Linked DNA regions of Drosophila melanogaster. The protein of the gene in region 2 purifies or fractionates together with the protein of the main gene of each other region. This does not show direct contact. Each region holds a gene or a part of one and is shown on either strand. Other genes may lie near its edges.

Region 1 (6,963 bases), on a different chromosome or scaffold from region 2:
AAAAGTTGTTAAAATAGACATTAAAAACTTTTTTTGAACTATGAAATATATTTGTCTGTATTTTTCTAATCTTCACATGAACGTCGAACCTGTGGTTTTTACTCTCATTATGTTGGGACTTAGTAGGCCAGTAGAAGATTTATAAATATGGCTATATAGCAATAACTGCTGATCTAAAAAATCCCAACCATAATAAGGGCACACACGGATTGCGATCAAAACCCGACTTCTTTGGAGCTGATAAAAAACTAACCATCTATCTGAAGTTAACCTGAACTTTTATAGTTTGCGTCGAGGGATCATACTTTTGACATACTTTGCTTAATATTAACCCTGTAAAGAAATGATTTGCATTAAATTGCATATCTAAATATATATAAATATATATATAAATATAAATATATTTTTTAACATCCCAAAATAGTTTATCCAATTACTTAAAAAACATATGTACAAAGGCATCTCTTTACTTAAAAGTATTCGCATTGTAGTGTTAAAATCATTTCACATATGAAATAAGATATAGGTGCTGTTGTAGGGTTTTAAATCGAGGACAAATTGAAATCTGATAAAACAAATCGTCAGGCATCATTGCCTTTGGACTTGTTTACCGGCTTACAGATTTTATTCCGAGTAGGCCAACAGTTCGAAAAGGAGTCCCCACAAGGCTGGTCATTCGACAAAATGCAATAGATATGTTTTGTAGTGTTTAATATAAAAAAATACATATAGTAAATCTGGATGACCCAAAGTGTCTAAGCCATCGGGAATTGCATGCCATGGCAAACAGTTTTTGAGTTGTGAACAATGGAAACACAGAGATGTTCGTTGTAGTTCAGGTCTCGAAGCAACTACAAAGAAGATTTAAAACAGTTAACTAAATATTTAAATGAATAAGCATTTATATTTACCTTAGGTGTTACAAATAAATACTGAGCCGAGCCGTGCTTGGTGGCTTCTTTGAGGAGCAAGTCGAATATGTGACGTTCATTTGTAGCGTCCATGCCTTGATTTATTTCATCGACACACCTAGAAATGGAGAACTATAAATCGGGCGTCAGTTTGCAGCTGGGTTCCGCAATCACCTGAATGGCACGTGGGTGACATGTTGCAAGGACAATGAGTATATGGCGATGGACACTGCGCGTTCGCCACCAGATTGAATAAACTTGTCCAGCGGCTGCAGCTGGAGACCTCTCCTGAACTGGACCATTATCTGAATACCATATGAGTCAAAGTCATACTAGAATTAATAAAGTGAAATACATTTGAAGTAAAGTTTTTATGTAGGACAGTTTAAGTTCTCACTTTGTCGGTTTTGGATAACACAACTTCTCCCACGTATTCAATGGACTCCATAAATTCGCTGAACTTGGTACTGATTGTTTCTACCAAGCTATTAAGTTTGGGCTCCCATTTGTCGTATAAATTGGACATGCCAGACTCGATGCTCTTTGCTTGGTTAACAGACTCTTGAATTCCTTCCTCCAGTTGCTTGACTTCATTTTGCAGTCCTTGATAGCTGCTGATGGCCTGCATATTTTAATATGGAAAGTTATTAGATATATCAGCTTCAGTTCACTAATTTAAAAGAGTGTTTTACCTCGGAGTTTACACTTTTCATGCACTCCAATCGTGCCTGAAAGTCATGTATTGCCTCTCGTAGTTCGGGCAAATCTATATTTTCCAGCTCCCTAAATTCCTTCTTAAAAGGAAATTTGCTACTGGTTGGAATTTCTCCGTGGCAAAGGCCCTGAATAGCGCTCTTTCGTTTGTTAACGTCGCTAATTTGATTTTCTAAGCACTGCAGCAACTGTTGGAAGTCTCTCTGCAAGCAAAACATTCCTATAAATAAATTCCTTAAGTGCATTTCGATTTCCTTACGGTTGCTGCTTTACTCTGTTCCTCGCTTTCCTTGAGGGCTTCAATTTGAGTCTCATGTTGCAGCATATAAATGGATACCTTTGTCTGGGCCATATTCTTTTCAATTATAAGTCGGTCAATAGCTTTCAAGCACGAGCACAATTCCGCATCAGCATCGAATATTTTTTTTAAGTCTTTATGCAAACTGTTACAAAAATTGGTTTCAAGACAGTCTAGCGCTGAAAAAACACGGTTCATAATGGCTGAATATTTAGTGCACTAAGAAATACTTACAATCGCTATTGCGCAGGGCTTCCAGCTTCTTTTGGAGCGTTTCAATTTCGGTTTTCAGGCTATTAAAATGGGCTATTTTTTGGTCAAGCTTTCGTCTCTTCTCTTGCTCATCCTTTGCAACAGCTTGCAATCGTTCAAATTCATTGTCGGTCTGGGTTATTGCGTTTTTAATGCTGTCGCTTTCCTTCACTGCTTCGGAGCACTGTTTCATCACCAGGGCCAGTTGTTGTGAGTCCACTGTAATAAGTTGGTTCTTCGCTCGAATGCTACTTTCAGTTAGAATAGTATCCGACCGATAGCGGGATGCGGTCACAACGAACTTCTTGCTGCCTAAAATGCACAGTACGGAATTCAAAATCAGAATTTATACATTTGCGAAGCGAAACCGAATAAGAAAAATATACACACCGCCGAAATAAACTCGGATAGCTTTTGGAATGGATGAAGTGTAATTGCCCACAGCTTCTGTGCCAATTGGTATATTATGAATGGAATAGGAAGCGCACAGCTTGTTTATTAGTGGTATTGGTCCCGTGACAAGATCCACGAGGTATGACCGAAATCCGAAAGAGCTGTAAAAGTATTTAAAACTAGGTATTGGACTAGTATTGGACAATTGACAAGTGCATACCGCAGATCATCGATGGGAGTTTTGGGACTGTACACGAGTCTATCGGATGGTGCGCAGTAAATAACGTTAACTCCCAATTTTTGCTTCACACACAACTCGTTGATCAGGTCCGACATATCCCCCTTGTCCTCACACGCAAATGCAAATAAATCGCGCTGCGCCACAACGTTTTCCAAAAACTTTGCGTCCTCATGATTTTGTACTGTAAGCTATGATAGCGGTTTTAACATTAGGCCATTGGTAATGGCTTCATTTTGAAAAGCTCACCTCAAGTATCATTGGGTCATAAACGTTCAATTTGTACCTTTGCTTATTTTGCGCCAACCAGTTCATGGCCACAACCAAATTCGGATTTTTTGCTCTAATTTCCTAAAATGAAAGGTAGCGTTAAGTTGAGTTTTCATTATTTCAGTAAGAACTTACATCAATCTTTTGCATTTTGACGTTTCTCAACCGCTCTATTTTAAGTTTATACGCAGTAATTTCAGGAATCATTTCATCATTCAGTTTTTGTTCCAGTTGTCTCCGTCTGCTGTACTGCTCCATTGCTTTCCCGCGGGCAGCTGCGCACGATTCCTTAGCCCTTTCAAGTTCCGAAACGATCAGAGGCCTGCTCTTATTTAGGGTTTCAAGCTCGTAAATTTTATTCTCCACCAACTGATTTAGGTTATCACACTCTGTGGCCGTTCTTCGTGATTTTTTAATGTTTTGCTATGTGACAGAATGTAAGATTAAGAGTTATTCACATGATCGATATATGCAACAAGAACACCAACCTCCAGTTCATATTTTTTTTGGTAAATTCCTTGCTTCAAAGAGTCCATTTTACCATCAATAGCCGCCTTCTCCGCTACAGCGTTTTCTAATAAGCGTGTCTAAAAAAACTTATTTTTAAAAAATATATTAAAAAACACTGCCACCCATTACCTTTTCCAATAAGGCCTTTCTGAGTGATTCTTTTTCCTTCTCAATTTGTTCTTGGGATTGAAGAAGTTTGTCATGTTGGTTCTTCAATTTGTCGCTCTGAGTTTTTGCGTTTTTCACTTGAGTTTTCATTTCTGCGGCCTTGGCTTCTCCAGCCTGAGTCTCAACCCACAATTTCTTCGCACTGTACACCTGCAGCTTTTGCTTGACCTCTTCGCGTTCTTTATATTGGGACACAGTCATTTGTAAGCTAATAAAATGATATTAAGACAATTAGGTTTTTAGTAAGAATTAAAATTTTGTACTTCATCCACACATTTGGTTACATTTTACTTAGTGAATAAAAATAAGCTCGGGTAACTATATCTTACTGTTCCAATCGTTTTTGCTTCTTAACCAGATCACTTTTCTCTTTTTCCCGATTAGCATGGACATTCGCCTGTTCTGTGCGCATTTGCTTTAGACTGTTGAAGCTGTTGATCAGGTCTTCGTCACACACGGAGGACATTGTGTTGAGCAAAAGCTCTTGAGGATTCATCTTGGAGAAGTCCTGAAACAGTATGTTTACAATAAATAGGTGTGTAATTTATGAATTGCCAACATAACGACATACCTGAACCCGATCCTGCGGGAGGAACTGACACAAATTGCTGACTTGTATGTTAAAGGAGGATACAGCAGCCAAAAAGTTCTTCTTGGAGGTGTCTTTGTCGTTCACAGAGAAGGTAGACAAGCCATTAGAGTTTATTATGCGCCGAAAGGTTTCCGTGGTGTTGGGCGTGCGTCCATACACCCGGACAATTATGGTGGCCGAGGTTTTGTTGCTCTGTATGTAGTCGGCAACGCTGGCGGAGCGATCAAGGAGAATCGGTTCCCCTCCGAGGCCCAAAATTATGGCCGACACGATGGTGGACTTGCCACTGCCATTGGGACCGGTCAGAACGTTCAGGTAGTGCTTCGGATGGAATGTGATCTCGCTGTAGGATCTGTTGTTGGAAATAATCAAATGAGCCGCGAAATTGTCAATTTGCGCCTTTGATGGAAATAAACCTACACGAAATCTTTGCAGTACACGGAATGTATGCGCCCCGCCAATTGCTTGGAACTTAAGGCACGATCCCCCGCCATGTCGTGGCGTAGGCTTTTATCCGAGCAAATGCTTATTTCAACTTAAGTAAAACGAGTTGTTTTAAATGCAATTCCGCGCTTTCAAGAATTTAGTTTTGCATTAGGGCATATGTGCACGTACCATTGTTGTCGATAACGATTGGTATATTAAGGGTACACTTGTGCGCCGCCCGTATGTATAATCAATTTATGTTTCTTTTATATTTTGAGCTGACAACATAAAAATGATAATTTTAAGCCTCAGAAATCTATTTTCGGAATAAAAACTGACAAGTAAAATGTCAGTAACAAATCGTGGAAACGATAATTACAAATTGATAGAAATAAATAGCAAGGAAAAAAGAAATATATAGAGCTTGAGCTGGGATGCAGCCAGACTGTCACAACAATTAATATCTATTACTTATCTTTCTGACGGGGCCTAAAAAATATCTGAATTTAGCTCCAAAAGGGTTTAGTTGCCAGCATTGGTGTCATCGCTATCGATTTTCTCTCATCTCTATTGGAAATTAATAAACTATTTTGCTTAGACAATACAATTCAAAATGAATGTAGGCAAGATAAGCGTTGTCACCAGACTTCCTGCCCTCCGCTCGTGCGCCCAGTACTCGAGCGCTGCGAAAGCGGAACTGCCGGCTTCCTTGGTCGGCGACGTGGATGTGGAACCAACATATCCCCAGACGGTGGACAGATCCGGCCTGCAACCACAACACAAAAATGTGCTCCTTAACAAATTGCCATACCAGGAACCTCACTCCTGGATTCATTTGACCGAGAAGTACCAGAGACAGGCATTCGGCCGGTATGGGGCCCAGAGCAATGTGAATCCCAAGATTTGCTTCGATTCCCACGGAGAGAAAGACAGCAGGCAGGTTATGCAACTAGAAACACTCCTGAAAATGCTGGAGAAGAACCGCGCGCAGAAGGCAGAGGAGCTGGCAAGGATAAATGCCCGTGAAGAGGACATTGCGAAGAAGATGGAGAAGTTGACACAGTGGAAGGCGGACCTGCACGCGAAGATCGCTAAGCGGGAGGCGGATGCAGCGGCAGCCATACAACGCAAGGAACGCCTGGTAGAGGAGGTGCGCCGACACTTCGGGTTCAAGGTGGATACACGCGACGAACGCTTTAAGGAAATGCTAGAGCAAAAAGAGAAGGAGGACAAGAAGAAGCAGAAGGAGGCCAAGCGAAAGGCCAAGGAGGAGAAGATGATGGCCAAGCTGGTAGAGAAAGCATCAGTGTAATATTTGTAGTATCAAAACCATCGATTTAAGCGAAGAACTGTTGTATGTTACACTAAAATAAAAACACTGCAAAAAGAAGAGCACTTATTATCTGTACTCCCATAAAATATTTTAAAGTGTTGCAAAATATTTTATATTTTTATAAATTAAGACAAGAATTTGCTTAGACTAGTGAAAAGTAAGCCCGATGTTTGTGTAATATATACGTTACACAAGCATTATTTTTAAAAGAGGATCAGTAGCCGAGTCGATCTAGCCATGAAGGAGCTTGCAAGTTGATAATAAGAATGCAAATTCCAAATACGCAGGGGTACTTGAGTATAGGTATCTAATAGGTCACTACACTATTATAATTGCACTGAGAATTTATTAATCAATATTTTTGGTTATACAAATAATACAAAGCTCTAATTGCTATGGCGCACGGACAGGGAACTATACACCGATTTTTCGCTTTCGCGCCGGCTATTCGCAAAAATGCTCTGCTTCTTCACGATGAATTCCTCCTCATTACAGTGTATACAGGCAGTCAAGAAGTTATGAATATGCTTTTCTTTCAATTCCTTGGAAATTTTTAGTGCCAGATCTAGAGCTTCACTGGTTCGCTCGACTTTGTGGAGTGCAGCATTCGCCTTTATTATCAGTAGGTAGCACAGAAACTGCCAAATGTAGCTATTGCATTTTTTTGCCTCTAAAAAGATAGATATATAGGTATTTCCATAACCGTTTAATAGTATAGCACTAATGGACCAAACCTTCAATAGACTTTCGGGCACTAAAACAGCATTCGTCAAACCTGTGTGATTTAAGATGAATCTCTGCCATTTGGTGAAGTAGGTAGGACTTCTCTATAGGGTACTTTGCGAAATTCATACGGTT
Region 2 (5,289 bases):
TCATCTGTTTCTTTTGGGGGATCGTGGAATCCCAGATGGGTTCATTTTGGGGGCAAAAAGAAACAAGTTTTCTTTTCAAAAACACATACACACTCTTCTATTTTGTGGGTGAGTCTCTCTCGGCCAAACTGACGCCATCAACCGGTTCGTATTTTGGCTACGCCATGGCATTTTTATTTCAGTTTTCTTATTGTTGACTCGCGTATCTGCAAGATACACAGCATGAGTCACGGAGCATGCAGATATATTTAATATTGCTTAAATAAAATATAGGATTTTCAAGCTGCCAAACAATGAGTACACATGTGATGTCATGTGGCAAACAAGTAAACTAGATATATATATATATATATATATATATATGTGCAGCGAAATGCATTCATTTCCCCATTTGATTGATGCCAAATGAAAGTGAGTTTTATTTCTTTTACGTCTTCATCGCACATTTTCCAATTACGTGTGCGTTTTCCTCCCATTTTTGGCGCGTTTTTGACCCTCAATTTGTTGAGGCGAGTTTCTCAACTCGTTTGGTTTTCAGTTTTCCGGCTTTCCTGTTAAATATTTATTAACAAACAGCAAATTGATTTGAGTTATGCTACGATTATGCCGTACAGTAAGACATGAAAATCGTGTTTGCTATTGCAGGTATGACTGTGATTATGTAATTAGTTCAATTTACACAGCTTAATTTGATTTGCTGATGCTTTGATAAGCGATTTGTGAGCCACCAAAGTGGGTTAACGCATCTTTGGCCGTAAGTCCGCTTTAATTACAGTCTTATGCAAGCCACTAATCTCAACCATGGTAATTAACCAGCTCAAAATACAACTGGGTTTACTCCAATGCGTTTCCTTTTGCGATGGCAATTTGAACAATTTGACTCATTTGCAGCTTTTGTCTTATCATTCAAATCGTTATTGTGATGAATCGTCCGAGAGTCTTTTAGCAATTAAGTGAATATAAACATAAACAGATTAGATGAATCAGTGCCGGGGAATCGTAACACCATTTATTTATAGACATTGCAAAATATTTGGAAAAATAATCATTTAATTATCAAACAGCAGACTTGTTACCAAAACCCCGAATTTCTACAATTTTGCAATGCTCTGCCAATCAGTTGAACAAAATGTATGTGGTGGCGAGAACTTTTCCGGATAACGATCATTTCCACATGAAAGTTAGCCAGCCATGCAGCAAACCAGCGACCCGGTATGAAAATGGATGGGGAATCCATTCGTGCTCCAAGTGCAAAGGAAGCGGTTGCAACAAGTTGTTGACACTCGGACCGAAATGAAATAAAATGAAATGATATATGTGGGTTGTGGCTGCGTGGTTGTCGGTGGGTTAAGGAACTTTACATAATGGTCATGTAGGTAACCACCTGGAACCACAGTGCCGGCCACACAAATATTGACACGCGATTGGGCGGTTGGTCCCCGGAGTGGGAATGTGACATGGATTTCACTCTCTTAAATATTTAACTTAGATAATGGTAGCTGGATGATTTACAGATACATCTGCTACTTGATAACTACTATTTTAAACTACAAAAAGCAGAAAGATTTGAACATGTTAGCTTGATTCTCAATCATTTTATAATATTTATTCATGCAGTTTGTAGTCACATTTTTTGTTTGTAACCAACTTTAAAAAACCTTTAATTAAGCTAAATATATCATATTTCTTAAGAATTTCTCTCCTTTTCCATCAAATCTATTACCACTTTCCGTTCAACTACCAAATTGAATTGAAATGCCACTAATGAATGCATTTAAAACCGAAAGTCATGCCACAAAAAGGAGAGTTTAGCACTCCAAATGAGCACGTAAATGGGTCCATTGAGTGCCCTCTGGAGTGGAACCGAAAACTCGGCGGGAAGGGGTTAAATGAGGGAGATAAGGTCGGCTTTAATTGAAACGCCGATAAGCAAATCCAGTTTAATCAAGGCGGAAAAGCCAAGAACTACGGTCAAACCAGTTTTTCCGCTCGCTAATCGATCAAAACAGAAGCCTTGAACTAGACCATCGACTGGAGGAAAAGTGGTTTTCCCAAAGGCGCGGAGTTCGCGGGGGGAGTCGTTTGTGATGTGGAGTGGAGATGGACAAGTTGGCGGAGGACAAGGCCAACGGAGGAATCAATAGATACGGTAAAGGTAAAAGTAATCTCTCTGTCTTTTGTTATTATTAAAAATTCTAGCTTAGCTTGTAATTCTTAAATAATTTAGAGGCAAACTTACCGCTTTCTCAGGTTATCCATGAACTTCTCCATGGACACTTGGTCGAGGAGGACGAAGTCCTGCACTCCAGCTTCCCGTTGCATAGCCATGGTGTCCTTTTGATCCTGCGTTTATTAGAGTTTAACTCGCGAGCGGAGGGTGCGGTATTCCGGGGATCGAAGGGGGGGATGCTAATTGCCGGCTGCAAAGGTGAGAGTCGAAAACTCAGGTAAGAACGAAAGGAGTATCCCGAAAAACACGCTGTTCACTTCGTTTTTGTTTTGTTACGTTTTTATTTGCTTGTTTTGTTTGCCTCGCCTTTCGCGTCTCGTCTCGAATTTTAACTATATATGCGTACAAATATAAATAAATTTATACATATGTATATATATATATATTCCGTGTGGCTGCTGCCAAGCGATTTTTATGTTTTATGAGCCAATTCGGGCCGCTTCTGTTGATGACGACGAATAATTCTCGGCGAACACGCAGTCACAGCGATCAATAAAGAATAATTCTGGATTTCTGGACCGATCGAACGCTTCCAATTGGAATCGAGCAGGAGAAAAAAAAAACAAGAACAAGATCGAAAGCAGAAATATAAATATAACGAGAACTCGATCGCAACCACTATCTACCTCACTGTTTAATGAAAACCGCAAATTTCGCGTTTGCCGCACGTTGTAAACATTTAGTTTTTGGGTTCTCCAGTCTTTGATATACGTGTATATATTTAAGGTCGGTGCAATATAGTCCGGAAGATCGGTGTGAGTGCCCACCTGGATTCAGTTTCGTTTGCGGCGGATTAATAACAACAATCGGCCGTCGCACAACCGCACTCGACCGCATTCAATGAAAGTTGCAGAGGGACTGTGGTCAGACATTTCGAATACGAAAATGTTCGCCATACGAAGCTGAAAATTGCCTAAATTGGCACTCCACTAATGGCTTGGAACTTGGCTAGTGCGCACTTCAACCAGAGGACTTACCTAATGCACTTTCCACACTGCCTTATGCTTGTGACAGTGGAAAAGTTACAGAGTATGGCGTACAAAGTATCGTTTTCCCTTGTTTTAAGATTAAAGATTGTTTTTTAGGATTAACAATAAAGAAAACACGGTTACATAAAAGATAAAACAAGCTTTCGATTTGGGAGTTTTGAATTGTCGCGCTTAGCTAAGTTCGGTCACACTGCACGCAACTCACCTCGAACAGCTGTTCTGTGGTGAACACAAACGTCGTTCTCGTAACATTTAATTTAGCTTAACTCATTGAAATTTTGGCATAAAATGAATAAAATTACGAGTGCCTTCATAAGAGTTCTGCGCCAGAGCAGCTCCTCAGGCGGCACAGGCAACCTTCTGGGTCGTCAGCTCTCCTACAAGAGCGATTTATCCCTGGACAAGATCTATCCCGGCGCCCGACTGCAAATCTACACGCCGCCCCCGCCGGTAAGTGGATGCAGTGCCTTCAGGGATCCCATCTATTGATATATGTATACATCCCCCACCCAGCCCAGTGGCAGCGACAAGTTCAGCGGCTTCATTCCCATGGACCGACTGGAGATCACCTACAGCAGGAGCTCCGGACCCGGTGGTCAGCACGTGAACACGGTGAATACCAAGGTGGATGTACGCTTCAAGGTGGCACAAGCGGACTGGATACCCGAGCAGACGCGCCAGAAGCTGCTCAAGGTGCTGGCAAACCGGATTACCAAAGACGGCTACTTTTACATCAAGAGTGATCTTACGCGCTCCCAGCAAATGAACCTGGCCGATGCGCTGGAGAAGCTGCGCACCATCATACGCTCCCAGGAGGCTGTGGCACCTGCGCCACCCAGCGAGGAGACACTGGAGAAGCTGCGCAGGCGCCAGGAGCGAGCGGTCCGCGAACGTCTACAACTGAAACGTGGTCGCGCCCAAGTCAAAGCGGATCGGCAGGGACCGAGCGGATTAGACTTGTAGTTTTTTATTGGAAATTGTTATACAAAGATGCACATTACACATATACGCTTAACTATGCTATGGACGCCATTGCAGGTTAGCACTATCACAGATTCTGTACGGACATACCCCCTGCTGGAGTATAACAACTAATTAACTTTACAAAATTGACACTTACATTATTTAAATATTATACAAAGATCTGTGAGAGTGGAAACCCAAATGGACTTGACAACATTCTAGGTCTGCTCGTCCACTCGAGCTGGTGTTACCGTAAATCTCTTGGAGCTCGCGACTTGGATGGCCGCATCCCTAGCTGGCTCGTCCTTTCCCACTTGCGATGGCATGCTCGCGAATCGTGGACGCTGGAATACACGAAATGAGCACTCGGGATAGACAAGACAGCTTTGTGTGCTACTTACTGGCTGTGGAGGACTCAGCTGAACGGAGACCTCGTGGCTCCGTTGCGATGGTCTGCTTACTACGCTGTGGCGTTGGCGTCGTTCTACTGCTGGTGGATTAAACCCTATTCTCGACGCATACAATTGTTCCAGGCGATGGATGGTGGAGATGCCGGCGCCAGGCGGTTGTGGCATTGAGAAACTATGTCGGTTGCTGAGCGGCGACCAAGTGTGCTGGTAGTTTGATTCGTCCAGATGGCGCAGGAACTGACGATTGATGGAGCCCAGTGCGTGCTTGTCTTCGGTGGCCAGATTGGCTATTAGCTCGTTGAGTATCTCCGACTCCGTTTCCACTTTGCCATTACGCGCCAGCTTTATGTCGTGCTTCCAGAACTGTCGGTTTTTGCGCCCAATCACCGGGGCAATCTCCTTTACCTTCAGCACCAGGATGCCCATGAGATAGACGCACAGAACGTTGGACAAAGTTAGGCACATGCTGATGCCGCCGAGCACGGCCAATTCAGTGGCCTGGTTGTCCGAGTAGCGGCGCGATTTAATCACATCCACGTAGAGCGAATCGTCGTTCTCGAATATCTTGTAAATGCAGGCCACCGCCCACAGCAGACCGGAGTTAACCGCAGGCGGTAGCAGCGATGCCGATATGGCCACGCCAACCAGAGAACCAATATTCCCGCCCAGGATTCCGATGGCAGCCGCCGCTCCCGAC

The links.
Region 1: the proteins of Myo31DF (region 2) and SMC5 purify together in Drosophila melanogaster (affinity purification with western blotting, with the first as the bait; one study listed by BioGRID). This does not show direct contact.

The regions. Positions count from the first base shown.
Region 1 is NT_037436.4:21,567,256-21,574,218, reverse strand, and holds SMC5 (structural maintenance of chromosomes 5), read right to left. Parts: upstream 4,968-6,963; 5' UTR 4,841-4,967; coding exon 4,767-4,840; intron 4,699-4,766; coding exon 4,326-4,698; intron 4,263-4,325; coding exon 4,084-4,262; intron 3,963-4,083; coding exon 3,716-3,962; intron 3,664-3,715; coding exon 3,565-3,663; intron 3,500-3,564; coding exon 3,212-3,499; intron 3,158-3,211; coding exon 3,056-3,157; intron 2,998-3,055; coding exon 2,789-2,997; intron 2,730-2,788; coding exon 2,566-2,729; intron 2,488-2,565; coding exon 2,158-2,487; intron 2,103-2,157; coding exon 1,885-2,102; intron 1,829-1,884; coding exon 1,604-1,828; intron 1,534-1,603; coding exon 1,309-1,533; intron 1,244-1,308; coding exon 1,086-1,243; intron 1,030-1,085; coding exon 912-1,029; intron 852-911; coding exon 756-851; 3' UTR 696-755; downstream 1-695. Other genes in the region: CRIF (CR6-interacting factor), read left to right, coding at 5,386-6,084; CG7634 (uncharacterized protein), read right to left, coding at 6,492-6,775, 6,840-6,963.
Region 2 is NT_033779.5:10,503,687-10,508,975, forward strand, and holds the start of Myo31DF (myosin 31DF), read right to left. Parts: upstream 3,094-5,289; 5' UTR 2,329-3,093; coding exon 2,240-2,328; intron 1-2,239. Other genes in the region: CG6094 (uncharacterized protein), read left to right, coding at 3,508-3,669, 3,733-4,182; CG7384 (uncharacterized protein), read right to left, coding at 4,401-4,526, 4,584-5,289. UniProt on the Drosophila melanogaster protein: Unconventional myosin that functions as actin-based motor protein with ATPase activity. Binds to membranes enriched in phosphatidylinositol 4-5-bisphosphate, and can glide along actin filaments when anchored to a lipid bilayer.